Rattus norvegicus: one gene and its partners. The protein of the gene in region 1 interacts with the protein of each later gene in a pairwise test. Links are inferred from orthologs where the notes say so. Each region holds a gene or a part of one and is shown on either strand. Other genes may lie near its edges. The genes, in order: Eif4a3, Ccdc174 and Pdcd4.

Region 1 (11,087 bases):
ATCACCCCACTTTCCACACCCCGTTTTCCCTCACCCTGCTTACCACACAGGGAAACTCTGTGCCAGCAGCTCCTGCTGCACCCCCTCACTTATTCCTAGCGCAAGGCTCCACAGTCCCCCGTCTTGTGACCCAGAAATTTTGGTAATCCTGACAGCCCCACCCAGCCTAGGCAACTATCAGCTGTGTAAACGTCCATCTGAAATTTCCACAGAATCAGACGGCAGGCACGGCCAACAGCCCTCTCTTCAGAGCTTCAGCATCTCCTTCCCATCTCTGTGCAGCTGGGTCCCCTTTCTCGGTCAAGGATCAGCAGCCGTTCGGGCCCTGCCCCATCTGGAGAGGACGCTGTGGTGATCCCGGTCTGGGAGCCCCCGAAGGTGCCGCAGCCCTTCTCACTTCTTGCTCACTCGCCTTGTCCGTGCTCACACTCACTGCCTCTTCCCTTCACACTCCTTCCCTGGGCGTGACTACGAACACCTCCTCTCAAGTCAGGCCACATTTCCCTCCTGCCACCAAGTGAAACCGGAACCTCAGTAACTCAGTCCACTTCGTCTGTTTCGTTTACATCACAGTAACTATACACAATTATCTCATTTGTTTGTGAGATAATTTTCGTGGGTCTTGCCTTTCTCTGGAATAGACACACAATGAAGGCAATTGATCCTTACCTCTAGCCCAGGACTGGAAATGTTTCCAGTACATAACTGGGGCAGGGCAGCTTACTGTGTACCTGTCTTTGTGTGTGGGACCCCAAGCCTGCAGAAGGCACCAGGAGTCCATGCAGCAAGTTGAAGTCATGGGGTGCTAGGCAGGGTACCTGGGCTCCTGCTAGGTGGGTTTGGGAAATGGTCATGGGTGGGAATGCTAGCAGGAAGCAATCCTTTGGGGACAACTCTTTGGATTCCCTCCTGTCTAATGTTGCCATCCTGACTCCTGGAGCTAGGTTGGCACAGATGGGCTCTTGAGCACACTTTAGCATTGTCCCATTCCCCCCAAATCCCACATGACCTTGCCATGTTCCTGTTCAGCTAGACTATGTCTGTATTCCTCCTCCTCCCCCTGTATGTGAATAGTGAGCAAGCTGGCAGCTGGTTACTTACATTAAGGAGACTGGGAAGCTGACTAGATATACCCATGCCTTTTAAATTAAGCACACCCCCAAATACAAGTGTGTAGTCAATACGATCGATGCTAACGGGAGAGGGTACCGAGACCAAAAATTGTGGGTCTAATCATCTTTGTCACCGGAGACTTCTTCCCTTGAGAGGCCAAGGTGTCTGGGGCTCCAGAGCCCAGGTACTTATAAGCAGGATAAAGCCATTGGAATATAAACTCGAGTTGGACCAATTGTTCCCTTGCTGAAAAAGTAGACTGAGCCTATCTTTCCGTCCGTAAAATAGGTAAGGAAAGACATTCACCAGCACCCTCTGTTTCTAATGGTGGTTGAGATTTATAAGAATCAAATTAGCTGGGTGTGGTGCCACACAACTTTGATCCCAGTACTCTGGAGGCAGAGGCAGGAAGGTCTCTGTGAGTTCAGGGCTGACTGGGTCTACAAAGTGAGTTTCACAGAGAAACTGTGTCTCAAAAAAATTAATCTGTCACTTTAAGCACTGGAATTGTAGATTGCCAAACAGGGCTGTCAGTTGCATGCCTGGGTGTATGTGCACATGCATACAGGTGGTTTTTGAGGTCATAAGAGGGCATCAGGTCCCCTGGAACTGGTTGTAAGTTATGTGAAAGGGGTGCTGGGAACTGAATCTGGGTTCTCTGCAAGACCAGTAAGTGCCCTTAACCACTGAGGCAGCTCTCCAGCCCTTACTGTAGTTCATTTTTATAAAGATATGTCTTCACCTATGCCATCCTGCCTCAAACCTTGGGTGTTTCTGCCTCGGCCACCCAAGTGCTGGGGTCACAGGGTATACACTACCACCTTAGTCTAGATTGTTGCTTTTAAGTAGATACTTTTGCATAAAATACAATGTAACCAAGTTGATCAGATACTTTGAACAGGCAAGTGACAAAGGCATACTATTCATAACTGATTGGATTATAGCTGCTTGCTGATGATAAAGAGAACCAGGGTCTTCAAATTACTTGGGTACTGTAAGAAACTATAGCAAGCCGGGAAGATGGCTCATGGGTTAAGGGAGGGCTGGCTATGCAAGCTTGATGACCTGAGTGAGTTTGATCCTGGAACCCATATAAAGGTAGGAGGGAAGAACATGCTACACAACTGTCCCCCGAACTCCACACCTGCTCTGTAGCATGGGCCTGCCCACTCGCATACACCATGCGAACACACACTAATACATGCGGATACACGCAGACACAATAAACTAAAAAAAGATATGTGAGCAGAGTGGTCCAATAAGAATACAATAACACCTTTCTCTAGTTGTTACATCTGATGAAGTAAAACAGTGAGATGAAACAGCGTTTTAAACAGTAACCACAAGCTATAATTACTCATTTCAACAGACAGTATGAAATGGAGACTTTACATTCTTTTCTTGGGATGTCATTAAAATCCCTGTGTCTTTTACAGCCAAGATTGCAAAACAACCCTTCGAGTCAGGCTTGCAAAAAAACAAAACAAAACAAAAAACGGCATGAGCACGTGGACTAAATCCTCATTGAGTGAGAAGGCATGAGAACTGGAACTTGGCCAACTCTATGCCTTTAGTGCTCTGATTAATACCACATGTATTATATGGTTTATCTGGTCTGGACAAATCCTGATACCAGAGCGGGAGCTGAGCTCTCAAAGAGAAGGCAGTAATAAAGAACTTGTTTTAACATGGGTACATTGCAACCCACAACTTCTCCATGAAAAGATCTGGTTGTAACTAAACTTATCGACATGAGTCTTTCACAGTAGCTTTTAAAGACTTGTTTGAGTATTTGTGTATTTGCGTGTGTGTACACACCACGAGTGTGGCCCCCACAGAGGCTGGAAGCACTGGATCGCCTGGAGCTGGAATATACAGGCTGCGTGAGTCACACGGTCTAAGTGGCTGGAACACAATCAAGGTTCTCTGGAAGAAGAGTAACAGCCCTTAACAGTTTAGTCATCTTTCCTCAAAAGCAGAAAAAAAGAAAGAGGCCACATGCAAATGAAGTTTTGCTAGAACTCGGGTTACGACTCGAAATTACAGGGGTCCTGGGATCCACTCTCACAAACAGAAAGACATGCCCCAAATAGCAAGGCCCTTTTGGAGCCTGCGTTGAAAATCAGGATCCTCCAGAGTGACTGGGGTCACCACGCCGGGTCAGAGGCTCTAAAGGATTCTCGGATGTGATGGCAGCTTGGGCGTCCCCTGCTCTCCCAGGCAAAAACATCTACCCACTCGGTCTCCACCGATTCCTCCCATCCACCACCCCGGGAGAGCAGCTTGATTCTCCCAGGTCGCCACGCTATGGTTGCCATGGCAACGCAGTCAGCAGCGCTGGAGCGCGGAGCCCACAGGACAGTGCCCTCTTCCTTTGCTCTGTACCTTCAGGGACACCTTGGCGTCACTCTTGCTCCTCCCTGAGACCCACATCCCTATCCCAAGTAGGCTGCAGACACCCAGAAGAGACAAGAGTATGCAGAGTCACGGACATCCAGAGACTGCCAGCCCAGTCCCTCGCCGAATCCCGCGGAGCACGGAATATCGCGAGGCTTGGAGCGCTTTGCCTCCCACCCCTCCTGACGCTCTTCCGCGGCGCTGTGTTTGCGTCACTTCCTCCCGACCGGGCCGGCGGCGCGAGCCTTGTTTCCGGTTCCCGCCGCAGCTCGCAGTTGTCTATTAGTGGGGTCGGGATCATGGCGGCCACGGCCACGATGGCGACGTCGGGCTCCGCGCGGAAGCGGCTGCTCAAAGAGGAGGACATGACCAAAGTGGAGTTCGAGACCAGCGAGGAGGTGGACGTGACCCCCACGTTCGACACCATGGGCCTTCGGGAGGACCTGCTGCGCGGCATCTACGCCTACGGTGGGGCGCGGGCCTCGGGGAAGGGGAGGTTGGGGGACGGGCCGCTTCAGACCGGGTGGGGAACGTGCGTCCGAGCTCCAGAGCTCGGGGTTCCCCGGTGCTGCAGTCAGCCAGGCTCCTCCAGTCGCTCGTGTAGCGGATAGCCATGTGTGTGTCCCTGTGAGGTGCCCCGAAGCTTTGATGGGGAAGTCGGGGCTCCAAATCTGGTGCGTTCGTGCCTTGTGGAGTTTAAAGCTTCCTAAGGAAGCGGGAAATACGAAGCAAGGGTGCTTCAAGCGGTGAGAATTGGGAAAACAAGAGAATGAGCGACTGGATAGAGTAGATAGATTGATAACGGTGAGTTAAAAGAGCCGAAAGAGAGCTCCCAGAGGCGTTCAGAATCCCCAGGGGAGAGGGAACAACTGGTCCTGGCTTCTTGAAGCCATTGCCTGACGAGTGCCAGGAACATAAGAAAGAAACCCCTCGTCATGTTTTAAAGGCATGAGTAAAGAATTTGAGATTCACTCCTAAATACAGCGGGGAGCCAGCCACCGCAGAGTTCTGAGCAGAATCGATAGGATCAGGCTTACCGTTTGAAAGTTTATTTTGGTGTCTGGATTTGGAGTTAGAAGAGGAGGCGGGGTGATGGCCGGACCATAGGAGAGATGGGGATGTTATTGTGGAGCTAAAGGATCTGCTGGCAGCAGATGCAGTGCATTCCTGGCTTTTTTGAGTGAATGGTGGGTCATGCTGTTGGTATTTGCTTAGGAGCATTTGAGGGAGGCCGAATGAACTCTTTTTGTTTCTGCTTTCTTTGTTGTTTTGCTTTTTGTTTTGTTTTGTTTTGTTTCTCCATGTACCCCTGGCTGTCCTGTAACTCTTAGTAGACCAAACTGGGCCTCTAACTCAGAGATCCCCTGCCTCTGCCTCCCAGATGCTGGGATTAAAGGTGTGCGTCACCAAGATGTTTAACAACATCTTTTCTTATAAATCCTATCTGCTTATTTGGAAAATACTTGTGTTTTCATTGTTTGTTTTGTTTTAAGACACAGTCTCTCTACCTAGTTCTGGCTGGTCTGGAACTCATTCTGTGAACCAGGTGGCCTGGAATTCACAGAGATCCCCCTGCTCAGCTTCTCCTGCTGGGATTAAGGGAGTGCACAGCCTTGTCCAGTCTTTCATACTGTTCTCCTTGCTAGTAGTGATGGCCCAGCAGGTGGGTGGTCCCTTGATGATGGGCCTTCGTGCAAACAGGAGAGCAGCACAGGGCGTCTCCCCATGCCTGTGCAGGCTCAGTACTCGGGAGACACCACCAGCTGGGGTTTGAGTGCTTGGTAGCAGGAAAGGGCAGCAACTGCAGTGCTTCTGGGTTTGTGCTTTTGCTTGTAGAGCGGGTTTGGTGTGGCTTAGACTGGCCTTGAACTCCTGATGCTCCTGCCTCTGCCCTCCAAGTGTTGGTGTAGTGGGTAGCATCTTGACAGGTAGTCCTGTAGGCTGGTCTGTGAAGATGTGCTCAGCTCTGCCTGTGTTGCCTGGGATTGGCAGGAAGGAGCAAGTGTGTGTTCCCCAGGTAGTTCATGCCGTCACAGTCCTGGGGAGTTACAGTGTTTCCTCTTTGCATTTCTAGGTTTTGAAAAACCTTCTGCGATCCAACAGCGTGCTATCAAGCAGATAATTAAAGGGAGAGATGTCATTGCACAGTAAGTTGTGGGCGCTGAGAGCGAGTTGGGTCCTCGGGGAGAGCTGTGGGGAGCTGAGCCTGCCTTATTTATTTATGCCGACTTGTTTTTGGATGTGTATTCTGGGTCCTATGGAGGTCATTGCACACACTACGCTGATGTAGCCCTAGGTCCTGAATGTAGATCTATGGATTTGTGTAAAGTACTTTTTCATTAGCTTTCTTTTCTTTTTCCTTTGAGACAGGGTTTCTCTGTAGACCAGGCTGGCCTCCAACTCAGAATTCTGGCTGCTATTTGGATTAAAGGTGCATGCTAGGTACAGAGCCCAGGGCCTTCTCTACTACTGAACTATAAATGACCAGTTATCCTTTACATCATACTTCAGACTTTAGGAGCTGGTGCATTAAAGGGAGAGGTCCCCTTTCTGCCTCCTTTGGGAAGTTCTTGTTGGCGTTGCAGTTTCTTAGTTCTGGTGTCCTGGTGTAGAAGCCCCACATCCATTCTGTCTGTAGCAGTTTGTCTCTCTGGGAGCTGTGGAGATCGCTCGCTCTGTTCCCAAGTTCAGTTCTTGGTACCCACACTGAGTGGCTCAGAGCTGCCTATAACTGCAGCCTCAGGTCCAGCATCCTCTTCCCGGCTTTGAAAGAAGTTTCACACATGTTCAGTCACACAGATAAGTAAAGGTGAAAAATAAGAATAAGAAGTGACCTTGTACTTTGGTCTCCCACTGTTGGAGTTAAGATGTTTGGGAGAGTGTGAGATTAATTCATGGAGTTTCTATGTCCTCCTTGTTCTCAGATAACTGCTGGTGTTTCTAAGCCTGCTCTAGCCTGGTGTTTTATTAACAAGCCGTAAAGCTTAAGCTGGCCAGGTTCTGAGACTCTCACCTGACTAGGCTGCTGACACCGGACACATGCCCTGTCACCTGCTGTCTGCTCTGGTCCATGTCTCTCCTCATGGTTTCTCTATACCTTCTCCCTGTGGTTTCCTCACTTCCTCCATTCCCCCTCCCCTCCTCTGGTGTCTGGGCACCCCTGCTTCTCTTCTGTTGAGCTAAACAATGAGCTCCTTCCTGAACCAGTCGGGAGGTGACGGAGTTTACAAAGCACTGAGATGGGTGATACTTCATGAACATAAGTCACCAAGCCTGGCCTGCACTCAGCTCTGCCTGCACAGAACCCAGCATCTGACTAATGCTAGGAACCTTTACAGTGCACAAACCCACCCTCCAACAGGGCAGGAGCAGGGGCTCCTAGTAAGAAGCTGCTGCACATGTCTGCAGCCAGGCCTTTGGAGGGAGCACTGCTGTGGGCTGGGGTCCCTAGAACAGGGGCAGTGTCAGATGCTCTTTCTCTGATAACTACCTTGTGCTTTCTTAAACAGGTCTCAGTCTGGCACAGGCAAGACGGCCACCTTCAGTATTTCAGTCCTTCAGTGCTTGGATATCCAGGTGATTTGCCACTCGCAGCAAATGCTCTTTAATGCCAATGCTGTGTGTACTGAGTGCAGGTTTTAGATGGGGTGTGGTTGACCTTCACAGGAGAGCCCTGACTGTCAGCGCTCTTGCTGGCCTTCAAATTTAGTGTCTCCTGAGGCTGGTTAGGAAAGAGCAGCGAGCTAACCCAAGCTAGTGTTTATAGTAGGTCCCAGTGCTTGTTAGCAAGCCGTGCGAGTGACACTGAGACTGATGGCTGACAGGCTCAGGGCAGGAAGCTGGACTTGGACAGATATCAGGTTCCCTCTCATCCAGAATCTAGTTTTTTTTTTTTTTTTTTTTTAATTTTTCAAAGAGGATTTGAAAGTAGAGATGGGACCGTTTGGGAAGAGATAGGGAAGGGGTAAGAGAATGAGAGTGACTGTGGACATGTCATAGGAAAACCTGTCCATTCCTCTGTACAATCTCATGACATTTCTTTTCTCTAACTCACTAGGTTCGAGAAACCCAAGCTTTGATATTGGCTCCAACAAGAGAGTTAGCAGTGCAGATTCAGAAGGTGAGACAGTCGGAGATGGTGTGCCAGGCTGGTGCCGCCCTGTGACAGTGCTGCTGTCCCCACGTGTGAGGCCCATCAATCCCTGAGCAGCAGTAGAGAGTGCCGCTGTGTTTGCACGTGTCGTTGTATGGAAGGGAGGTGATTTCTGTTTTGCTGGGGGTCCACACGGCGATGGAGCGGGTGAAGGTGCTGTGGCTCACACCTGAGTGCACCTCCCAGAATCCTTGTAAAGGTGGAGGGAACGCTGACCCCCGCTGTCCTCCCACCCACACTTTCCTTCTTCGTTTTTGGTTTTGACAACACAAGAAGCAGGAACCGAGCTGTGTGTGCCTGGCAACCTGTTGTCTGACTCGCTGGTGGTTCTTACCTGGTCTCTGCTCTCCTGGTGTAGCCATGGTCCTAGGAATGTGGCACAGCGGTACTTGGCTCTGCCGAAGTACACAAGGCCCTGGTTCCTTCCTCACAGGAAAATGAAGTTCATTTTAATCAAATAATGACTTTCCTTCTAGTCTTGGAGGGATATGTATTGGGATGTTAATACGGTATGATTATCAACTGTGATTTTTCCCACACTTGGTTTGCACCCCTTCAGTATCAGGAAACCCTAAATTGAATTTCCTTTTGACAGAGGAAAGAGCTTAAGTGAGTGAGTGGTAGGTGGTGTCTCCCATTAAAGTAGAGATGACCCTTGAGATGTGTCTGACTGCGGGCCTCTCATGGAAACCTATTTTGCTTCAGGGTCTGCTTGCTTTGGGGGATTACATGAACGTGCAGTGCCATGCCTGCATTGGTGGCACCAATGTCGGGGAGGACATCCGGAAGCTGGACTATGGGCAGCATGTTGTGGCGGGCACACCAGGACGAGTCTTTGGTGAGTGCTTCTCTTGTTGAGACCTGGGCTGTGGGTGGTGTTTATGAGGTGTGCTCAAAGGACGTGGCAGTTCAGTTGTATACACCACATGGTGGGACAGCTTCTGAGGGCTCTGGGGACCAGTGGGAGTGGCTAGCTCTTTCCTTAGACCCACATGTGATTCTTTCAAAATCTAATTGCCAGATATGATCCGCCGTAGAAGTTTAAGGACACGGGCAATCAAGATGTTGGTTTTGGATGAAGCTGATGAAATGTTGAACAAAGGTAAGGGGACCAGAATTTTCTAGTAACATACTGTTAGGTGTGTGTGACAGTCCTTACTTTTTGCAGAAGCAGTGTGTCTTGTGGGTTTTTTTTTTTTTTTAATTATTTATTGGTTTTATGAGTATGAGTACACTGTCGCTGTCTTCAGACACACCAGAAGAGGGCATCAGATCCCATCACAGATGGTTGTGAGCCACCATGTGGTTGCTGGGAATTGAACTCAGGACCTCTGGAAGAGCAGTCGTGCTCTTAACCGCTGAGCCATCTCTCCAGCCCGTCTTGTGGGGTTTTGAACCTGAAACTTTTATTGTAATGTTTTTGTGGTTTTGTTAATGTTTTTGAGACCAGTCCTAGCTGGGGTGACAGTGTCTTCTTATTGTCTGGTTTGGCACTGCACATGGCCTGGGTCAGGGTTCAGGTGTTCACATGCGCACCTGTGAACTCGCTCTGACCACCGACTTCTCTGAAGTCCCTCTGTGTGGCTCTCAGTGACAGCCTGAAAGCCAACGCCGAGCTCACCACATCTGCTGCAGGTTTCAAGGAGCAGATCTATGACGTGTACAGGTACTTGCCACCAGCCACTCAGGTTGTTCTCATCAGCGCCACGCTGCCCCATGAGATCCTGGAGATGACCAACAAGTTCATGACCGACCCCATCCGCATCTTGGTGAAGCGGTAAGGATGCATCCCTTCATTCCCTGGGTGGAAGCCAGGTTTAATGATCTCTACCCTCTTCCATTTCTAAGCCTGAGCTGTGTGCTCCGTGGGGTTCTGTGGTCTGCGGAGGGAGAGGAACCCAAGGGACCGAGAACTGGAAAGGTCTAAAGCCAGCTGGGTAGAGGAGGGCTGGGGGCTCAGCGTGGCCCTGTCCCTCGGATTCTGGGTTGGAGAGTGACGTGAGCTCTGTTCTCAGTGATGAGTTGACTCTGGAAGGCATCAAACAGTTCTTCGTGGCCGTGGAAAGAGAGGAATGGAAGTTCGACACTCTCTGTGATCTCTACGACACGCTGACCATCACCCAGGCTGTCATCTTCTGCAACACCAAGAGGAAGGTGCGCTGCTCTGCACTGTGTCGGTCTTGGGGAGCTGCAGGCTGGGTGTCCTGTCTGTCAGAGGCCCAGGGTGTGGCTTGGGCTTGGGTTCCTGTTAATTCAGCTGTGGCCGGTGCGTTAGATGGAAACGCTGAGATTTGGCAGTGGGGGAACTGCTGGGGCCTCTGAGCAGGGAGGTCACAGAAGGTCTGCGTCTAGGACAGAAGGGGGTTACCGACACGGGTCTTATGTCATCATTTGGATGCCTTTGGTTTAAGCTGGGTTGAAGTGGTGTCTGCTGGCAGAGTCTGCGAGAGTTGGTGGGGGAGTTTCCTCTGCGACTCTGTAAATCTGCTGTTGAGAGCTGCCATTGTACAGGTCTCTGGATGGGTGGATGAGCACCTCTTTTGTTCTGATCTGTAGGTTGACTGGCTGACAGAGAAAATGAGAGAAGCCAATTTCACAGTGTCGTCCATGCACGGAGACATGCCCCAGAAAGAGCGTGAGTCCATCATGAAGGAGTTCCGGTCAGGTGCCAGGTAGGCCTTGCAGCTTTGGCTCCTGTGGGAGGACGGATGGCACTGCCCTCAGGGCCCAGGTGCAGGGGCTGATGCTGCTCTCTGAGAGGACGCTGTCCCGTGCGGGCTGTTGGGTTGGTGGTGAACCGCTGCTAGCATTGGTTTATTGTATTCACGCTAGTTTCTGTTCAACTTCTGGTGATCAGGTATTGGATCGGCAGTCACAGTGCTCAGAGAACAGGCCTCGAGAGTCTGTCTTTGATTCAGGCCTGTTGTGATTCCCTGGGGACACACTTGGCGTGTGTGTGTGTGTGTGTGTGTGTGTGTGTCTGTCTGTCCTTCAACAAGAGATGCCCAGCTAGACTGGAGCTGATAGCCTGTGATAGCCCTCTGCTTGCTGGGATCCCTCCCTCTCATAGTCAGTTCTCTGTGACTGAGTAGGTGAGGCGCCCGTCCTATGTTTCCCTGTGGCTGTAGGGTTGAATGTGCTGTGTAGAGTGTGTGGAGGTCGGGGACCAATGTGGAATGCAGCTCTCTCTTCACCATGTTGGTCCCAGGGATTGAACTTGGGCTGTCAGGCTTGGCATTAAGCTCCCTGACTAAGTAAACGACTGAGCCAGGTCACTGGCCTGTCTTCTGATGCTGGCTGTATCCGTCCTCACCTTGGATATGGGTGTGCAGTTACAGTTTTTCTTTGGAGACTTGAACCTGCCCTTGGTGTCCTGAAGCCTGGCTGACAACTTTTGCCTGTGAGCCTGGGCAGGGCTCATCCT
Region 2 (10,456 bases), on another chromosome or scaffold:
TTTGTCAAATGCTTTCTCAGCAACTAATGAAATGATCATGTGGTTCTGTTCTTTCAGTTTGTTTATATAATGGATCACGTTGATGGTTTTCCGTATATTAAACCATCCCTGCATGCCTGGGATGAAGCCTACTTGATCATGGTGGATGATTGTTTTGATGTGCTCTTGAATTCCCTTTGCCAGAATTTTATTGAGTATTTTTGTGTTGATATTCATAAGGGAAATTGGTCTGAAGTTCTCTTTCTTTGTTGTGTCTTTGTGTGGTTTAGGTATAAGAGTAATTGTGGCTTCGTAGAAGGAATTCGGTAGTGCTCCATCTGTTTCAATTTTGTGGAATAGTTTGGATAATATTGGTATGAGGTCTTCTATGAAGGTTTGATAGAATTCTGCACTAAACCCGTCTGGACCTGGGCTCTTTTTGGTTGGGAGACCTTTAATGACTGCTTCTATTTCCTTAGGAGTTATGGGGTTGTTTAACTGGTTTATCTGTTCCTGATTTAACTTCGATACCTGGTATCTGTCTAGGAAATTGTCCATTTCCTGAAGATTTTCAAGTTTTGTTGAATATAGGTTTTTATAGTAAGATCTGATGATTTTTTGAATTTCCTCTGAATCTGTAGTTATGTCTCCCTTTTCATTTCTGATTTTGTTAATTTGGATGCACTCTCTGTGTCCTCTCGTTAGTCTGGCTAAGGGTTTATCTATCTTGTTGATTTTCTCAAAGAACCAGCTTTTGGTTCTGTTGATTCTTTCTATGGTCCTTTTTGTTTCTACTTGGTTGATTTCAGCTCTGAGTTTGATTATTTCCTGCCTTCTACTCCTCCTGGGTGTATTTGCTTCTTTTTGTTCTAGAGCTTTTAGGTGTGCTGTCAAGCTGCTGACATGCTCTTTCCTGTTTCTTTCTGCAGGCACTCAGCGCTATGAGTTTTCCTCTTAGCACAGCTTTCATTGTGTCCCATAAGTTTGGGTATGTTGTACCTTCATTTTCATTAAATTCTAAAAAGTTTTTAATTTCTTTCTTTATTTCTTCCTTGACCAGGTTATCATTGAGTAGAGCATTGTTCAATTTCCACGTATATGTGGGCATTCTTCCCTTATTGTTATTGAAGACCAGTTTTAGGCCGTGGTGGTCCGATAGCACGCATGGGATTATATCTATCTTTCTGTACCTGTTGAGGCCCGTTTTTTGACCAATTATATGGTCAATTTTGGAGAAAGTGCCATGAGGAGCTGAGAAGAAGGTATATCCTTTTGCTTTAGGATAGAATGTTCTATAAATATCTGTTAAGTCCATTTGGCTCATGACTTCTCTTAGTCTGTCGACATCACTGTTTAATTTGTTTCCATGATCTGTCCATTGATGAGAGTGGGGTGTTGAAATCTCCCACTATTATTGTGTGAGGTTCAATGTGTGTTTTGAGCTTTAGTAAGGTTTCTTTTACGTATGTAGGTGCCCTTGTATTTGTGGCATAGATATTTAGGATTGAGAGTTCATCTTGGTGGATTTTTCCTTTGATGAATATGAAGTGTCCTTCCTTATCTTTTTTGATGACTTTTAGTTGGAAATTGATTTTATTTGATATTAGAATGGCTACTCCAGCTTGCTTCTTCTGACCATTTGCTTGGAAAGTTGTTTTCCAGCCTTTCACTCTGAGGTAGTGTCTGTCTTTGTCTCTGAGGTGTGTTTCCTGTAGGCAGCAGAATGCAGGGTCCTCGTTGCGTATCCAGTTTGTTAATCTATGTCTTTTTATTGGGGAGTTGAGGCCATTGATATTGAGAGATATTAAGGAATAGTGATTATTGCTTCCCGTTATATTCATATTTGGATGTAAGGTTATGTTTGTGTGCTTTCATTCTCTTTGTTTTGTTGCCAAGACGATTAGTTTCTTGCTTCTTCTAGGGTATAGCTTGCCTCCTTATGTTGGGCTTTACCATTTATTATCCTTTGTAGTGCTGGATTTGTAGAAAGATATTGTGTAAATTTGGTTTTGTCATGGAATATCTTGGTTTCTCCATCAATGTTAATTGAGAGTTTTGCTGGATACAGTAACCTGGGCTGGCATTTGTGTTCTCTTAGGGTCTGTATGACATCAGTCCAGGATCTTCTGGCCTTCATAGTTTCTGGCGAGAAGTCTGGTGTGATTCTGATAGGTCTGCCTTTATATGTTACTTGACCTTTTTCCCTTACTGCTTTTAATATTCTATCTTAATTTTGTGAGTTTGGTCTTTTGACAATTATGTGACGGGAGGTGTTTCTTTTCTGGTCCAATCTATTTGGAGTTCTGTAGGCTTCTTGTATGTCTATGGGTATCTCTTTTTTTAGGTTAGGGAAGTTTTCTTCTATGATTTTGTTGAAGATATTTACTGGTCCTTTGAGCTGGGAGTCTTCACTCTCTTCTATACCTATTATCCTTAGGTTTGATCTTCTCATTGAGTCCTGGATTTCCTGTATGTTTTGGACCAGTAGCTTTTTCCGCTTTACATTATCCTTGACAGTTGAGTCAATGATCTCTATGGAATCTTCTGCTCCTGAGATTCTCTCTTCCATCTCTTGTATTCTGTTGATGAAGCTTGTATCTACAGCTCCTTGTCTCTTCTTTTGGTTTTCTATATCCAGGGCTGTTTCCCTGTGTTCTTTCTTGATTGCTTCTATTTCCATCCTCAATTCCTTCAACTGTTTGATTGTGTTTTCCTGGAATTCTTTCAGGGATTTTTGTGTCTCCTCTCTATGGGCTTCTGCTTGTTTATTTATGTTTTCCTGGAATTCTTTCAGTCATTTTTGCGATTCCTCTCTGTAGGCTTCTACTTGTTCTCTAAGGGAGTTCTTCACGACTTTCTTGAAGTCCTCCAGCATCATGATCAAAAATGATTTTGAAACTAGATCTTGCTTTTCTGGTGTGTTTGGATATTCCATGTTTGTTTTGATGGGAGAATTGGGCTCCGATGGTGCCATGTAGTCTTGGTTTCTGTTGCTTGGGTTCCTGCGCTTGCCTCTCGCCATCAGATTATCTCTAGTGTTACTTTGTTCTGCTCTTTCTGACAGTGGCTAGACTGTCCTATAAGCCTGTGTGTCAGGAGTGCTGTAGACCTGTTTTCCTCTCTTTCAGTCAGTTATGGGGACAGAGTGTTCTGCTTTCGGGCGTGTAGTTTTTCCTCTCTACAGGTCTTCAGCTGTTCCTGTGGGCCTGTGTCTTGAGTTCACCAGGCAGCTTTCTTGCAGCAGAAAATTTGGTCTTACCTGTGGTCCTGAGGCTCAAGTTCGCTCGTGGGGTGCTGCCCACGGGCTCTCTGCAGCGGCAGCAACCAGGAAGACCTGTGCCGCCCCTTCCGGGAGCTTCAGTGAACCAGGGTTCCAGATGGTCTTTGGCTTTTTCCTCTGGCGTCCGAGATGTGTGTGCAGGGAGCAGTCTCTTCTGGTTTCCCAGGCTTGTCTGCCTCTCTGAAGGTTTAGCTCTCCCTCCCACGGGATTTGGGTGCAGAGAACTGTTTATCCGGTCTCTTTCTTTCAGGTTCCGGAGGTGTCTCAGGCAGGGGTCCTGCCGCTCCTGGGCCCTCCCCCACGGGAGCCCAGAGGCCTTATACAGTTTCCTCTTGGGCCAGGGATGTGGGCAGGGGTGAGCAGTGTTGGTGGTCTCTTCCGCTCTGCAGCCTCAGGAGTGCCCACCTGATCAGGCGGTTGGGTCTCTCTCTCACCGGGTCTGGGAGCAGAGAGCTGCTGCGGGCCGGGATCCTCGGGTGTGGGACTTCCGGTAAACACAGAACGTGCCCGGTCCTAGAGGAATTCTGCTTCCGTGTGTTCCAAGCTCACCAGGCAGCTTTCTTGCAGCAGAAAAGTTGGTCTTACCTGTGGTCCCGAGGCTCAGGTTCGCTCGTGGGGTGCTGCCCAGGGGCTCTCTGCAGCGGCAGCAACCAGGAAGCTTGTTTGAATGATTCTAAGAGGGAGAAATCTTACAAATCCAATGGAAACAAGAAAATCTGCAGTAGTAATGTGATGGTCTGTTGGGTACCAGCCAGCTTGTTAGGAGCCATCAGCGCACAGGGGAGGAGTAGAGGGAGCCAGTTCTTCCACCTTCACAGAAGATCCCATTGGATGGAGGAGGAGAGCGTTACACCTAGGAGACAGTTTAACTGGGGTCGCCTTACACGCAGGGACAGCCATGCATGTGGGAAAGGGAAGGTTACACAGAATTATGGCCCCATTTAGGCCTTTGAGATTATGTGTCCATTTTTCCTTTCCTTTGTCCCTCTATTTTCAGTTTTATTTCTGTGATGTGCTTTTTATTTCTTTTAACTTCATGCAGTATTTTCCTCTATTGCTTTTATATTTTTGTGTATATGTTGGATGTGTGTGGCTATGTGTATGCTATTGTGTCTGAGTGCAGGTATGTTAATGCCACAGCATGGAAGTGGAGCGTGTGGTGGGCCTTCCCTTCCACATTGTTGAGACACAAGCTGGAGGGGTCTGTTCTGTCTCCCACCTTTCTGCCACAGGAGGACTGGGATTACAGATGTGCTGCAAACCAGGCTTTATATAGCTTACAGGGATTCGAACTCAGGTCTTCATGATTGAGCAATAAGTACTTACCCTCTGATTCATCTCTGATTCATCATTTTTAATCTTAGTTCTCTTCCTACATTTATCCAGTTAGGAAATCTTTATTTTATTTTTCTTTTTGATAACTCCTTGCTCTTTTTTTCTCTCTAGAATATTCTATTCCATTCCTCTTCTTTTTCTTTTAGTTTATTTAACTTTGCTCTCTCTATTTCTCCCCTTTCCTTGTCTCTCTCCTTTATTATGCTAACATTTTCCCACATCCTAAGTAATTTCGACTTCATGGCATATTTTGTTAGTAGTCGTATGATGTCATGTAATTGGTTTAAACATTTGTAATGCAATTCCCTTTTGTCATATCCCCCTGAAATAGAAATCAGTATTCAAAGTTGGAAAACAGTATAAGAGAATTTCTGCCAGTGCACATACCATTGGCAGGAGGCAGGGAAAGCAAGTATGCATTCAGGAAATTTCTAGAAGGAAGTGCTTTGACCTGGTAAGCTGGAGAAAAGGATCTGTAGGGGAGAGTGGTAAAAGCTGATCTTCCAAGGGAATGGGGTGGGGCTCAGCATAGTCTAGCCTGTCTAGCAATCAAGACACCAGTGGTGCTGGGCCATCATTTGCCTCTTCTTAGATAGTGTGGCTTGTTTGCACTGCAGGGAGTCCAGCATGGAAAAGTCAGTCATTCCTGAAGGTGGGAGCTGTGGCGACAGTGCTGCGCTCCAGAAGAGGAGCAAGGTGTTCATCTCCAGGATGTCTCACTGCTGTGTGCCTCTGCACCTCAGCTCTCAAAGAGCTCTTCCTTCTAGTGGCTTTGAAAACTGCTTTGCTTTATTCTTTTTCTTTTTCTTTTGATTCGAACTTTTATTGTTACTACTGAAACCCAGAGGCTGGAGAGATGGCTTAACAGTTAAGAGCACTTGCTGTGCTTACAGAGGACCAGAGTTTGGTTCTTAGCACTCCTCTTGGCAACTCACAACTGCCTGTAACTAACTCCAGCTGTAGGAGAACTGATGTTCTCTTTTGCCTTCTGAGGGTATCTGTACACCATTCACCCTTCTTCCCCATGCTTGTAGTTAAAAATAACATGAAAATCCAGTAACTCAGTCAAAAGGAGTATGTCTGAGGAAAATGGGTTTTGTCAGATCCAGCAGTCCCATCTCCTGATACTTATTACTGTACTTGTGTATCTGAGCTGGTGAAGTCTTAGAGCCTCAGCTGTCTCCACTGTTACACTGTAAAGGGGGATGATATCACCACTTGGTGATAGGGAGCCCAGTGTCTGTCCTAGCTGTCCCTGTCCTTAGGAAAAAAAACATGTTGAATCTATCCCTGAAGAGCCTGGCTTCAGATCTTACCTGAAAACAATGTCCACTTGTGAAAAGAACTCAGGGTGTGTGTGTGTGTGTGTGTGTGTGTGTGTGTGTGTGTGTTTATGTGTGTATGCAAGAGGGAGACAGGGCCTCACCAGGTAGCCCTGGAAGACCTGGAGCTCACTATGTATGTAGTTCACTATGTAGACCTCAAAGAGATCTATCTGTATCTGCCTCCCAAGTGCTGCAGTTAAAGGTGTGCACACCATGCCCCAGCTTAAGTGCACATTGTTTACCTGTGTTAGGAACTTTCAAGCACCTCTTTCCACCAGTGTGAGAGTTAAATGATGCAGCTCATAGGTTTAGAAAGGCCTGTTACACCACAGCAAGAAAGGTCCACTATCTGTTCTGTGTCTCTCGTATGTTGTTAGCTGAGGGTTGCTCTAAATTGAATGGGTGTGTTGTTACATGGACTTACTGCTCACACAGTGTGTTGATAACACAGCTGGAACCTCAAGGCTTTTTGGAATATTATGATTGGTGTTATGGATGGCTTATTTAGAGCTTCCTGTCAGGTGCTTGGTGGCTGTCTGTAAATTGTCCCAGATGCAGGCATTGACTGGCAAACAGTCAGACAGTGGGGCCCTTCTCAGTTCCAGCTATGATTTTCCTTTTTAATTTCAAGATCTGTAAATTGATTTTTGTGCCGTAGATGAGGAAGTGGAGGACATGTACCTTGTGGATTTCACACAGAAAATCATAGACAAGCGAAAAGAAATGGAGGTGCTTGGTGCCACTAGAGATTCCCGAATCAAAGAAGAGAGAGATGCTGCTGTTGCTGCTGCTAATGATGATGATGATGAAGAAGAGTTTTCTGAAAAAGACATACCTCCCCCTCAAGACCCCAGTGAGGAATGGTGGGTAGTGGGGATTAGATCGGAATGATCCTCTCAAATGCACATTGGCTTTTTGAGAAGTGTTTTGCTTGATCATTATCACAGCATTTTTTCTTATTCTGCCTGGGTTTTCTGTCTTCCAAAAACCTTCCCTTTAAACTGGGATGAGCTAGTGTATCAATTATAGAAATGGGCACCAGTGGAGAGGTAACATCAGGGACTGCAGGTAAGAACTGAGCATCTCTCTGTTGGGCCTGATGTGGTGCCAGGCCCAAGGATCCTTGGCGCTCCATCCATATCCTGCTCCTCATTACCATGCTGCTGCTTTACTGTGCTGTGCTTCAGATGCCAGGTCCTGAAGTGGTTCCCTTCGAGTGACTGGCAGGGTAGGTACAGTAAGCTGTATCCTAGCTGCACTGTTTTCTGGTAACACCACAAATCCTCTCCATTTCCCTTAAATTCCCTTCTGGAAGCATGTGACTTCCATGGTGGGAGCATAAGCAGATACTTTGCAGAACTTCATCTTTGACCTTTTCCTGGATTTTACCTGTATGTACATAACAGATGGAGGAACGGAGCCACATGCAGATCAGAGTGAAAATCCCATCACAGTGTCTTCCATGTCACTCATTCAGCAGAGTTTGCCATTGCTTAGACATCACCGATGTCCTGACCATGTACTGGGCTGGCCTCTAAACTCTTGCTCTCTGCTCAGGACTGTTTGTGGTGTTTCTTAGCCTTTTAATTAGCCCCTTCGGACAGGCATTTATGCATAACGAGAACTCCCTGCTACTGAGGATGTCAGAGAACCTTCCTCTTCATATGGCTGAAGGTGTCCACTGGGGTCCATGCTTTCTTACTTTTAAACAACTTCCATCTAATGATACTGTTGTGGGTAGACATGTGGTGGTATGCTACATGGAATCACAGAAAAGAACTCAGCCTCTCTGTGCCTTTCTAGTCCTAAGTACTTGCTTCCTCATCTGAACTAATTTTTGGAGGGGGGTGGAATCATATCTTTTATTTACAGTTGACCCATTCTAGGCCTTATTACCAGCAAAACATTTGAGACAAACTTTTGCTTGTTTTTATAATCTGCCTAAATTGTGTTTTCTGCCATGCACCCTTCCTGCTTTCCTGAGAACAGTCTTTCCTCGCTTGCCCAGTTCCTCCAGGTTCGTGCTGGCTGGGACTGCTCAGTAAGCAGTTGCTGATGAGCTAGAGCCATTGCTGGCTCTGTGTTCCCTTTGTTGGCTTTGTGTGCTTCGAAGGCCTCTCCAGAACAGAATAGCTATGATTGCTTTTCAAGGCAGAAATCCCATCGCCTGTGAATGATCTAATGTCTTTTAATTATTTTCTTATTAATGCCTTTATGATTACAGGCAGTTTGCCAGCAATTTGAGGAATTTGGAGGGCAATTGAAGGTGTCACATGCCACCATATGGTGCAGTAAGACACTTCAAGCAGTTCCCACACTTTTTTTGTTTTTGAATTAAGCTTCAGAATTGTGACTACTTGTAAATCCTTTTGGTAATTAGATCCCAGGTGGTGCAAGATCTTTCTGCAAAAATACTGTAAATAATTACACAGACCATCTGGCTAGATGGTTTTCTCTCCCATTGAGTAAAAAAGACGGAAAGAAAAAAGAAAATGAAGACACTGTTTGTTTAGTTGTTTGATTTCTTGTGTCTAAAGGAGTAGATTCCCAAGCATTTGGTTTTAAAGTATGGGCTAACAAGGAAATCATCGTCACTTGAGAGAAAAGAAATTACAGGCACCAGCACTGCCAGCTGAGTCAGACCTTGAAGGGCTTTGCTTACTCGCAGCACAGCCTGTTAAGAACCTGTATTATTTAGTCCTTAACTGTGTGCCCTAAACTCTGCTCCAGACTCTGCGAGATTCTTGCTTGTGATAACAAATAGGAAAGTACATTATACTGTAGTGCAAAGGAAATGGTTTCTGTGAAAACCTGCCCATATTTTGTTGTTAGGAAGTCTCAGTGTTTTGTTTAACCTTGCTGTGTGACTGGTGTGCCCTGCCCCTACTGTCTGCTTTGGGGAAAGATGAAGAAGGATGTATATTGCTTGTCTTCCTCCTACTCACAGTGGGTCCAAAAGACACCATGACTTATTTTAAGAACTCTTAAGCTCACTGGAGAGAATGTGTCAGCTGGAAGCAGAGCAGTAAAAGGGGTGAGGCCTGAGTACACTGGGGAGGGAGCAGTGAAAATCTGGAGTACATAGTCTAGTGGCGAAAATGCACGCAAATTAAGAGAGTTTTTCCATGTCACCATTTCTGTATTGGTAATTTGTCTTTGAAATCAGAACCATGATCAATTCCTTCCTATAGTTTCTAAAACAGATTTAGCAGAGGGCACAACAAGCTTATTGAGTGCCAGCTGCTAATTGTTTTTTCCTGTGGTAGTGGGCCCTTAGCTTCCCGGTTCTTGGTCACAGGCTCTGTAATGATATTGCCAACTCCCTGACATAGGGATCTTCTGCTCATGGTACAAACTGTACAAACTGTCTTCCCAATGTCTAATTTTCAGGGTGGATTATGTGGACTCTTTGGGCCGATCCCGGCGCTGCATGAGAAAGGATTTACCAAGTCTATTGGAGATGGATAAAAATCTTCAGGGGAGACTGTAAGTTTAATATGTGGCCTTTGTCAGGAACACAGCCACAGGGATTGTCTTCTGGGAGAGGCTGCTGAATGACTACTTGTTGCTATAGTAAGACCATTAATAGTACGACGATATACCGAAGCCTGTAGCTTAACATACCCTACACAATAACCGTCTGTGCTCAGGGAGCAGCCTGAATGTCATTGTACTTTACTTATTGATTTTCTTTTTCTGAAACCCATTTTTTTTTTCAGGGACTGAGGAGAATTAGTAACATTATTCCCTGGGCTGGACTTGAACTAGGTTTAAGCTTTCCAGGCAGGCACTCTGTTCTGGTCATGTGCATTGTTACTGCTGAAAGGGATAAGTTGACTGTTGACTTGGAAGGATGTCTGATCTAGATTGCAAATACAGAATGAGCCCAAACCTAGCTAACAAATCAGCCTTTGTGAACAGAGGGTTTGAGAAGGTTCACTTGCTTTTATTCACTTCTTATTCATATGTCTTTGTATATTGAAGCAAAGGCCTCATGACAACATTTCTAATGAAACCAAAGAAATAACATACGTTTGAAAAGTATCTTGGTGATTAAAATTCCCGGTGGTCAGCCTTTATATGAGACATATTAGAGAAACTCCGCCTGTGTGAGCCCTTTGAGGTTGAGGCATCCTGTGGTAGACCTGGAATAAGCACACAGGGGCCACAGCATAAACCATGGCCATCCGCTGGACAAGAGGCATCCATGTCTTTAGACAAGGTGCCATTCAGAGAAGTTCAGTGGTTATCCTTCCTGGCTAAGCCACCTCCCATATGTCAGCCAGGACAAGGGTAGAAAGGAAAGTCACTTTTCTTGAACATTGAGGCAAGATCCCATCAGGCTCATGTGTAAGTCTGGGAATTGATTTAAAAATGATAAAATAAGATTATTTGAGATGGCTCATCAGGTTAAAGTACTTGCTGCTAAGCATAATGACCTGAGTTCAATCCTGGGAACCCACGTGGTAGAAGGGAAAAATAGATGCCTAAAGGTTGAAAGCAGTCTTCTGACTGACTTCTACATGTGTGCTGTGGC
Region 3 (10,456 bases), on another chromosome or scaffold:
ATGAAATAACGCGTATCCAATGCATTTTGAACTACAAAGGGCCTGAGAAGCATTATTTATAATATTTCCCCCTTTATTAGCTGGATGCTGCAGAAAATATTTTCTCAAAGGTTCTACTCGCATCCAGAATGAAAATAACACTTGAAGATGTAACTTTGGTTACATTCAGATCACATCAGAGCTGGCAGATTTCCTCTAGCGAGTGATCCAGGCATACGCTGAGGGAAAGCAGGATTCAGCAATTTCAGCCACGGAAAGTAGTAAAATTCTCCATTTCCAAACTATACTTGGTCTTACATTTGTATGACTCTCTACGTATCTACTTTAAAATTCATTTTTTTTTCTAGATCCCAAGTCATTTAAAATTAACACCGGGAAGTAAGTGGCCATTCAGACCTACATGTCAGTTAATTCTGAGCAGAACTAGAGAGTGATTTTTACCATGTTCTGTTTCTTGGGTAGGATAACGTCTTGGTGTAGCCTAACAGTCATGACATCACCTCAGCATAAGGTGTTACTCTTGTTTCACAAGTTGATACCTGTTTTAGGGAGAAAGGATATAGATGTGGAGGGCCTTATGCTTGTTAAACTTGGTGAAGTTTATCACCTGTCTGCTCTCCACAGCACACAAAGGTCTCACATGCAGGTGTTAAACTCCTGGTGACCCATGTGTGTCCTCTAGTGCTGCGATTACGTGTGTGTGTGTGTGTGTGTGTGTATTTTAACCACATCTGCCTTTTATTCTTAAAGCAGGTTGTGCTTTTTTTTTAAGAATGAAAATTTTAGATTATAAAAGCCATATGCTGAATATAAATCACATAATAGAAAGGGTTACTTAAAAATCTCTTCCTGTTTCAGTGCCTCATAAAAAGACAATGTAATGGACGAGGAAATGAAATGACAGCTGCCTCTGGTTTTGGATAGTCTGTGATGGGAAAGATCAGTACATGAAATGTTCTGATTAGCCAAGACTGTTGTTTTTATTTTAGAGTAAATTTTAGTTTTTGTTAGAGATTTATCCAGTACTTATGTCCCCGTATGTGGATGTCAAATTAATTTTAAGACTGTATTAAATGTGGGCTTGGGAGATGGAATGTGGGTTAAGAGTGCATAATGCTCTTCCAGAGGACCTGAGTTCGGCTCCCAGAGTTCACATCTGTTGGCTCACAGCTCTCTGTAAGTCCAGCTCTGGGGGAATCCAGTGCCCTCTTCTGCCCTACACAGCTGTCTATTCACAATGTGGCTTATAATGTGGCACACAAACACATGCAGAAGCACGCACACACACGTGCACACATGCATGCATGTACACGCACATGGTAATGGGGGGAGAGAATCGTAAAAGATTTGGTGTGTATGTTTAAAAGATGTGTGTTATAAATGTTTCTTTAAACCTCACGTTTAAGGGATTCATTGGCACATGCTGAAATCTGATGTAATTTTTTGTTTTTCTTTTTGTCTCAGAAAAGCTTATGGAGAAATTGGGAGCTAAGTATTAATTAGACTATTTTTGAAGGGATTGAGGCTTTTTTTTTTTTTTTTTACATTTTATTCAAGTAAGTTGAATTTACCTTATTGTGTCAGTTTAGAAGATGTTGAACCTTTTTCTTTTCTTTTTTTTAAAACGTAGATTCTAAAGGAAGACTTCCATTTAGTAATTTGCGTATAATCAGTGCAAGTGAAATTAAGGAAAAATGGATGTAGAAAACGAGCAGATACTGAATGTGAACCCCACTGGTGAGTTGTATTCTAACCCTGCCTTGTGACCAACCTTGAAGCTGTTCCAAATGAGAGTAAAGCTCTTAAAGTACTTTCTTAGCCATGCTTAAGGTATCCTGGCTCTACAAAAAGGCAACGGAAACTAGTAAAAGTTTTGAGTACTTGCATTTAAAAGTGGTCAGCATTGAGGGTGGTACACTTAGCTGGGACAGTGTTGAGCGACGTTATGTTACAATAGTAAGGACTTCTACACTGAGATAATGTAGAAAGCTTTGAAAGAGTTTTTCAGTAAGGGCATGCTTTAGAACACCACTGTCTTCACTTTGGAGACTGTTGAAGATCGAAGGAGAGAGACAGACTAATGAAATGCTGTAACACACTATGTGTGTTTGTTTTGGATTACAGTGTTTTCTTATTAACATTTGTACTTTTTTGCTAAGAATCTAAAAGAATTGAATACATCTGTGCTTTTTAAATTGATTCAGTTTTCACTTTTTAGACTCACAAACTACAATAAAAGTCATATATGTCAACTTTACATCATAATAATAATTATCATAATTACAATTACACACCAGACAGTTTGGGTGATTTGCCTCTTATTTGAGTTACCCATCTGGGAAAATAAACTGCTAGAGTGGTAATGAAGCCAGTGGCCTTTCTGACTTAAAAATGTCTCCAGAGCAAAGCTGAGGCGCCATCTGCTTGTCAAAGACATCTGAGACAGGGGAGAGTGGTCTGTGGGGTGCTGTTGACAGGAAGTGCAGTCTGGTAATAGCCCCTTCTTTGAGGCTATGAGCAGGGAAAGTCATAAAAGAAGTAAAGCATTGATTGCTGCAATGGGTTGAATGATCATTGTATGACCATGTAGTGTTCTAGTGGCTGAAGTTGTTAGGATGGTTTTCATGGAGGGAATGAGATTTGGGTATATTTTGAAGAATTCTGATAGCAAATTAGTAACTAAATGACTTCTAAGCAAAAGACCATTTGGTCTCTTTTAGGTACTAATGTGCCAACCACTTTAGGTGCTAATGTACCAACATGTGTAGGCTGGGGACCTTTCAGAGATAGAAATTTAAGGAAATAGTTTTGGAGATAATGATTTTAAGAGCATTTCCTATATTGAAGGCAGTCAGTTCAACAGTTGTATTTGATTACAAGTCAAGTATATATTGCAGACATTAAGTCTCCTAAACATTTGTAATTGAGCAGGGAGAGTTTTGAAAATAGTTTAAATACCATCAGAACCTTGATTTCCTCATCTGTATGACGTGCTGAACTTGTACTGTCCAGTAGAAAAAGTATGTTAGACACTGTGCAGTTTATCTCCTTTGTCTCAAGATTCTTTATTACCTCTCTCTACTTGGTAACTCTTTGCTCACAAGTCTATAGTTTTTTTGTTCTTCATACTAACATAGATTTTTATTATCCAAGCAAGTGTAATAACTTTTTTTTAGAAAACCCTGTTAATTAAAATTCAGTACCTTCATTTACTTTCCTTGGTAATGGGACAAATAATCTTATCTGTCCTTTATTAGATCAAGTCATGTAAAATTGCCAATGTATGACTACTACTAGCCTACAGAATGTTAATTGCATGTGAAGTAACCAAATTAAATTGTACCTGACGGGGCTGAGAGATGACTCAGTAGTTAAGAGCACCGACTGCTCTTCCAGAGGTCCTGAGTTCAATTCCCAGCAACCACATGATGGCTCACAGCCATCTGTAATGGGGTCTGATGCCCTCTTCTGGTCTGTCTGAAGACAGTGACTGTGTGTACAAATACATAAAATAAATACATAAATCTTTAAAAAAAATTGTACCTGACATAACAGTGGATATTGGAAATACTTAGTTTGGTTTTCTTTTTTCTCTTTTAAGACCCTGACAATTTAAGTGACTCTCTCTTTTCTGGAGATGAAGAAAATGCTGGCACTGAGGAAATAAAGAATGAAATAAATGGAAATTGGATCTCCGCATCTACTATTAATGAAGCTAGAATTAATGCTAAAGCAAAAAGACGACTGCGGAAAAATTCATCCCGGGACTCTGGCCGAGGCGATTCAGTCAGTGATAATGGAAGTGAAGCAGTTAGAAGTGGAGTAGCTGTGCCCACCAGTCCAAAAGGAAGGTTGCTAGATAGGCGGTCCAGATCTGGGAAAGGAAGGGGGCTGCCAAAGAAAGGTTAGTGTGTGCTGTGCAAAGAAACAACTGGAAGAACCCCGGTTCCTGTGCTAGGACTCCCTTGTTGTAAACAGAGAAAGCATTAACAGTCCTAGGGCTTTATGAGTTGCATGAATCTTTATGGCAGAGCTGAAGGCCCATACCACTTTTTCTTTAGGTTGCTTACTTTTTCTTTGGAGTAAACTTTCTCTTTTCCTCTCAGCAAAATATAGTAGACATTGATGCTTTCAGTTATGAATTTTATACACATTATGAAGGTGGTCAGGTTTATTATAACTGTTACCAAATGAATCTATGTCTAATGTTAAAAATAGTGACTATGCATTTGGTAACATATACGTGGATCTGGGTCTGAGCTCTTTTTAGTTCTGCTGCTTGAGTGTTGGAGTAGATTGATTTATTTCACTGTAGTATCCAGTGCCTAGAATACTGATAGACATTTAAAATTCATTGGATGAGAGGCTTTCAGCCTCTGTCTATAGTAGGATTTTAGTAGAATTGGAGATTGGACTGGATTTTGAATGGTGTGAGCTTCAGTTACACATTTAAGACGCTGATAATTTAAATGGATCTTGTGATGAAGTGTTTGGAAAGAGGGGGGAACTGAAACATGGAGATTGAATTTCAGCATCTTTTATTAATGAACATAGAACTAATGCCAAGAAAAAATATGATTATGAAAAACATTTTTGTTGAGGTGAATAGGGAAAGATAAATATATCAGTATTCAGTGGTCTTTCAGAAATTATTTTGTGATTAGCTTACATAATCATATCAATCAAAGTGATCTGAAGTTATCTGGTTCTGGTCTGCTGTGTTGGCAAGGATTATAGTCCAGGTATAGAATGAAAACTTAAAAGGGGGGCAATGGCATTCTGAAGGCTTTTTAAAAAGTATTATTTTAGACAAATTTGGCCTTCTAAAAATGCCACAGTAAATTGATAATGGAAAAGTGAATTGCTCAGTTGAAGTTATAGTCTTTGTTCTATATGCAGAAGTAGAGAGAAACAGCTGTTACTGCTGTTGATTTTTTAAATAGCAATTATTTGTTAAAATACTGCTAATTTCTAAGTATAGTTTAATGTGCACTTTATGTGGAAGAATATTACATGTTAGCATGACGGTAGTCATTATAGATATCTGTGGAATGTTTTTTTTTTTTTTTAAATGTGTTGAGCTTTTAATGCCACATTTCCTGGCCCAAAATGTTTTTCTTCTTTATTCTTTTTTCTGGTTCCAAGAAATGCCAAAATTTAGAGCTGCACCACAGTGTCATGTTCTGTAAGGTCTGTGGTACAACTATTGCTCAGATTAAAAAAATATTTTAAAGATTTTGCCTTTGTAATTTCTAACTAAGTTATTTTGACTTAATGCTTTTAGAAATATAATCTATTATTGAAAAAGTGATCTTTATAGGAATTTCAAGTGTAATTCTCAACTGGAAAATAATTAGCATAAGAATTTTTACATTTGAAATTATTTCAGATTTCAGTTAATATTTGTGAACTATCAACTGAACTTTCAGGTGGTGCAGGAGGCAAGGGTGTCTGGGGCACACCTGGACAGGTATATGATGTGGAGGAGGTGGATGTGAAAGATCCAAACTATGATGATGACCAGGTATCAGCTATTTTTTTTAATATACTCAATGTTTGTAAGATTTCTTGATTTTCACTCATAAGATTGTCAAGTGATACATGGTTATGTATCAGTACTCCATAGCTATGAAGATAAAGACAACATGAATAGAAAAATCATATATACAGATTAGGAAAACCAGGTTTTTTGATAGTAAAGTATACATAATTTCCACTTGGTTTTGGGAGTCAGGAGGTCTTTATTGACTTGAGACTGGTGATAATAAAGGAGTATCATGGGCTGCAGGTATTGGGTTCCTTTTTAGAATCACTACTTAACATGAGTACTAGTGTATATGTTGTTCTGGGGACATGTGCATTTTCTCTCTCATGATAATACTTAATAAGGAATATCTTAATGCATCATTGTGAAGTTCTTTCTGTCTTTCTAATGGAAAAATTTTAAAAGTATAATTGGTGCAATGAATCCTACTGGTACTCTTCTTCCAGCTTCCCCAGTATTAACTCACAGGCTATCTTATTTAATCTATATCTGTTTACTTGAAAATGTCAGTGTGTGTGTGTTAGATTGTTTTCTTTGCACATTATTCTCATATGTGTACTTACCAGTTTTAACAGATGGATATGGAAAATTTCTAAGAGATTATAAAAATATTTAAAAGCTGTGGGATTGAAATACCATGTACTTTGCTAAATATTAGTCTTTTAAGTATATGCTGCAAATAATATTTTAAGTGACAAGTTGTAGGTAAATATTTTAGCTTTTCTGTAGAGTAGACACATGGGTTCATGATAAGCATTTTTTATCTTACTTAAGTTTCACTTGAACTGCTTTTTCTTAGATTTTCAGTCATTACAATATTGATCTCTTATTTTTATTATATTAATTTTGAAAGTTTCTGCTTTTGACAATGTTAGTACATATATAAGAATACTTAATCTTGTTAAAAAGTCAAATTTTAATGAAAGTATGTGCTGGGATGCCATGTTAAAGGTTTTGGGTCGAAAAGTTGGTTTTGCGAGGAATATAAAAGTTAACATAAAAGCTGAGGTGGCTTAGGTAAGGTGTTGCTATGCAAACAGGGGACCTGAGTTTGGATTTCTAGCACCTCTATAAATGCTGGACATACGGTGATCTCAGCATTGAGCTCAGCATTGAGAAGTGGAGACAAGTGGGCTCCAGGGCTTGCTAGATGGGGCTCCAGGTTTAGTGAGAGACTTTTTCCTCAGAAAATGAGGTGAAAGGGATGAGGAGATGGTTCAATAGGGAAAAGCACTTTATGTACAAATTGGGCAGCTTGAGTGTAGTCTCCACAGTCAGGAAACTGATAGGAAAAACCAGCTGTGGTGGATGCATCTGTCATCCAGTCCTTCAGTGAGGACATGGTAGGTGGAGGTAACCTTGACCTCTGGTCCCTGCACACCACATGCATGCATGGTACATGCTCCCCCCTCCATACCCAAGTAAGTCAGCATGAAATACAGAATTTGGGAGAAAAATTACACATTTGCTGCCGTGAGTGGGTTTGTTCTGTCTGGGGCCTGTTGACGCTTTGTGACAGCGTCGCACCCAGACTGATTACAGCAGGAAGCAATGTCCTTTTCTTGCCTTACTGGTGATCAGCTGGCGGAGCTATGAAACGATGGTTTCAGTTTATTCGAACATTTAATTTGTGATGCCCTTCTTTCAGGAGAACTGTGTTTATGAGACTGTGGTTCTGCCCCTGGATGAGACGGCGTTTGAGAAGACGTTAACACCCATCATACAGGAGTACTTTGAGCACGGAGATACGAACGAAGTCGCGGTAGGTTTTCAGGGGCAGGGGGTAAACACCATGGAGAGCGATTGGGGTTACTCTGGATAGAGCCATTGGGGTTACTCTGGATAAATTTATGTTCTTTTCTTTTGTAACAACAACAAATGTCAACCAAGAAAGGAACGTGGCTCAGTCACTGGGCGACACTCAGCAGCTTCAGAGGACACTGGTCCCAAGGGCAGCTTGCCCAGCCCTTGTGCGGGGCCTGTGCATGCCACTCCTCACTGTTATAAGTGTGCTGCCGCCTCCGTAGAGCTGGAGTCTGTGCTACAACAGAGAGCAGTTTGACCCGGTGCCTTCTTCTAGCCCTTCGATGGGCAGCTGTTCTTGAGTTGCTAGGGTACTGGGTTGTAGGCTCCCCTGTTGCAGGTAACAGTTGCTGTTCTGTTCTTCTGCTCCTTTCTATAAAAGACCCAAACCCTGCTGGGCCTTTGCTCAGGCTGCTTTTGCTATAGTGTCCAGCTACAGCCTTATCAACGTCTGGTAACTTCTAACAGGAAGAGACAGATTGTTTACCTGTACTACCGTGATCTTAGCCCGCTCAGAAGACATTTTAGCCTTTTCGTGCCAATCCCCCTTTCATTATCAATTTATACAAAGGATGGGCAGCTTAGGCAAGATGGGGTATGAAAATCTGCTACTATCCCAAGAGCTCCCCAAAGCCTCTAGCACCTTTCTGTTTGCAGACGTAGTTCATTGTAGGATTCTGACAGTAATGTTGACAGGTGTCATATGTGTCTTACCGTACAAGACCTTCGTATTGCCAAGGATTTCACACCTGTGCCTGGCCCTTGCCCCTGTGGGTTGATCTCCCATCTTCATTGAAGGGACTGGTATTGTCTCAAGATCCACAAGACCAAGTTCTGTAGAGTGACAAAAGTCAGGGAATAAGAAACAAAGACAGGAGGGGGAGGGGAAAGGAGAAGGGAAAAAGAAACAAGAGGGAGGGGGAAGGAATATTTGTCTGAGGAGGGGGAGTGGGATGATGACAACAACAGACAGGCTCTGAACAGTGGAGACAAATGTGATTCATAGCAGATGACAGTTTATAACGGTTAAAGGGAAACTCAGTGTAGGGTGAGCTGCTTAATTTTAATTAGGCATGTTAATTAGGTGAGGCAAAGGGGATTTTTGATTGCTGGACCTCAGTACTTTGATAGCTGGACCTTGGTTGTCAGCCTCAGGAGGAGGACGTGGCTGAGGGGACTCGACCTTGGTGGTTAGCCTTTGGAATGTAATCTAATGGTTTTTAATAAGGCAGAGAGAATGGGGGAGAAGGGCAAGGCCTGCAGGAGCCATGTTTGCTGTGCTTGGACTTCTAGGGTTCCTTCCCTCTTCCTTTAGATGCACCTGTAGGTCCTTTGGGTATACTTCTAGGTGTTCAGAAACACTCAGAAGTTAACATTATGTCATTTATATAACACATTTTCTAGAGGATGGGTGGGACAAGGCAACACCCTAACGTACCAACCCATGACAGAGGGAGGCTACAAAGGTAACATTGGTGAAGCACTCTGAAAGTCTGTTTAACCTGTTCTGAGCAAGCGTCAGGTGAGTGCAGAGGTTCACAACTAAGATGTTCTAAAGTGTAACGTAAGCAGGGCCGAATACGGAGAGGCTCCATGCATTTGTAGCAGTTCCTTCCTCCCCAGATCATAGTTGGGTACCAAGCACGTGGATGGGAGGCATTAACTTCATTAGCTCTCTGTAATCCTCAGTCATTCTCTCTGAGCCATTAAGTTTCCGATCCCGGGGCTCTTCCACAGTCTTCCTACATTTCTCCAAACCTGACAAACTCAGTAGCCTGACTCAGTCTGCTCAGACCTGCTCATGGCCAAAGGTGAATGTGGCTCTGCTCTCTCCCGCTGTACCTAATGGCTCCCTAGGTCAGAGTGGCCCTTGGTTCATGGTGGCTGCAGCTTCTCCATTCATACTGGGCTGTTGGAATTCCTGGCTGGGCAAACCATCTCCACTGCTAGCATAACCTTTTGCTGGAGGGAAATATACCCTTCATAGTCTCGGGGGATAATTCCACCCTTGGGGCAGGCTTGATCGTCTTCACTGTGCCGATCTATTCTGGGTGTCTTCCAGAAGCCCTTTAGCACACAGATGGCTTTCTTTGTCAGTCTTTTCCTTGGGAACTCCAGTGAGACCCAAATCCCACCACATCTGTCTCTGAATAACCCAGGCATCTCTTTATCTGCTGTGTCTTTTTCTTACCTCCTCTAGGGCTCTCACATTACAGACTCTCTACATCTTGCTCTAAGTCACTGAGATCTGTCAAATCCCCTCCTACTTTATAAAGATCTTACCCCACCAAAGGGCTCAGAAAAGCCACTAAAGCTCCACACTAGCCATGAGGTCCCTGCTGGATCAACCTTTCCTTTGCCTTCTCTGTGAACGCAGTTCTACCTGACCCAGTGAACCAGGTTCAAACACTGCTCCTCTTCCTCCTAGTTCCCTCAATAGCACCTGCCCCTCCTTTTTGGTCCTCCAGTTCCTGATGTTTATGGGGACTTCAGACAGAGATGACCAAGTGTTCTTCATGGCTTTCATAAGCCAATCCACCAAAGACTATGTCCATCACACTGCCTCAGGCCATGCAGCCTTTGCCTTAAGGAGGGATGGGAAGTTACATTACTCAGTTTTTCTGTCTCCACAGCAGTCAGATGGATCCCATCCACCCGTGTCCCACAGCCTCACAAGCCAGGCTAAAACAGGCTCTTTTGCTACTTGTTTAAACTTCCCTAATTTCAGCACTTTTAGTGCTGAGTATCTCTTGACCACTCTAGTTTCTTGCATGGGACCATATTCTGGATCATAGATTTTCCCTTTTATTCCATTAAAGGTTGGACCTCTATAGTATCTTGTATTGCTTTTACCATGATCTTCCTCACGTTGACTCTTCCTGTGGATTCCAAGGTCTCGGATCCCAGGCTGGGCTTCTGAGCATGGGTCTAACTTGCACTCTCTTTTCCTTGTGGCCCCCAACCCTTAAGAAGTCACCTCATCTCATTCTCTTGGTTATATCTGATTTGCCAGATTAGATGCTAACACGCAGGATGCTGCCACATCTCTTGTCTTGTTGCAATTGCTTATTTTTACACAAACAGGTTCCTGTTTGGCAGCCATCTTAG

What was found.
Region 2: the proteins of Eif4a3 (region 1) and Ccdc174 interact in binary tests that used the Homo sapiens proteins (3 or more experiments, as listed by UniProt). The two-hybrid records come from large-scale screens. The link is inferred for Rattus norvegicus from reciprocal best matches to the Homo sapiens genes EIF4A3 and CCDC174.
Region 3: the proteins of Eif4a3 (region 1) and Pdcd4 interact in binary tests that used the Homo sapiens proteins (3 or more experiments, as listed by UniProt). The two-hybrid records come from large-scale screens. The link is inferred for Rattus norvegicus from reciprocal best matches to the Homo sapiens genes EIF4A3 and PDCD4.

Annotation. Positions count from the first base shown.
Region 1 is NC_086028.1:105,050,224-105,061,310, reverse strand, and holds the start of Eif4a3 (eukaryotic initiation factor 4A-III), read left to right. Parts: upstream 1-3,749; 5' UTR 3,750-3,809; coding exon 3,810-3,978; intron 3,979-5,584; coding exon 5,585-5,657; intron 5,658-7,019; coding exon 7,020-7,086; intron 7,087-7,567; coding exon 7,568-7,630; intron 7,631-8,368; coding exon 8,369-8,501; intron 8,502-8,684; coding exon 8,685-8,765; intron 8,766-9,298; coding exon 9,299-9,440; intron 9,441-9,678; coding exon 9,679-9,817; intron 9,818-10,219; coding exon 10,220-10,335; intron 10,336-11,087. UniProt on the Homo sapiens protein: ATP-dependent RNA helicase. Involved in pre-mRNA splicing as component of the spliceosome. Core component of the splicing-dependent multiprotein exon junction complex (EJC) deposited at splice junctions on mRNAs.
Region 2 is NC_086022.1:125,958,528-125,968,983, forward strand, and holds part of Ccdc174 (coiled-coil domain-containing protein 174), read left to right. Parts: intron 1-6,577; coding exon 6,578-6,782; intron 6,783-9,309; coding exon 9,310-9,405; intron 9,406-10,456. UniProt on the Homo sapiens protein: Probably involved in neuronal development.
Region 3 is NC_086019.1:262,928,699-262,939,154, forward strand, and holds part of Pdcd4 (programmed cell death protein 4), read left to right. Parts: intron 1-1,130; exon of another isoform or gene 1,131-1,176; intron 1,177-1,630; 5' UTR 1,631-1,694; coding exon 1,695-1,737; intron 1,738-3,601; coding exon 3,602-3,904; intron 3,905-5,429; coding exon 5,430-5,524; intron 5,525-7,193; coding exon 7,194-7,307; intron 7,308-10,456. UniProt on the Homo sapiens protein: Inhibits translation initiation and cap-dependent translation. May excert its function by hindering the interaction between EIF4A1 and EIF4G. Inhibits the helicase activity of EIF4A. Modulates the activation of JUN kinase.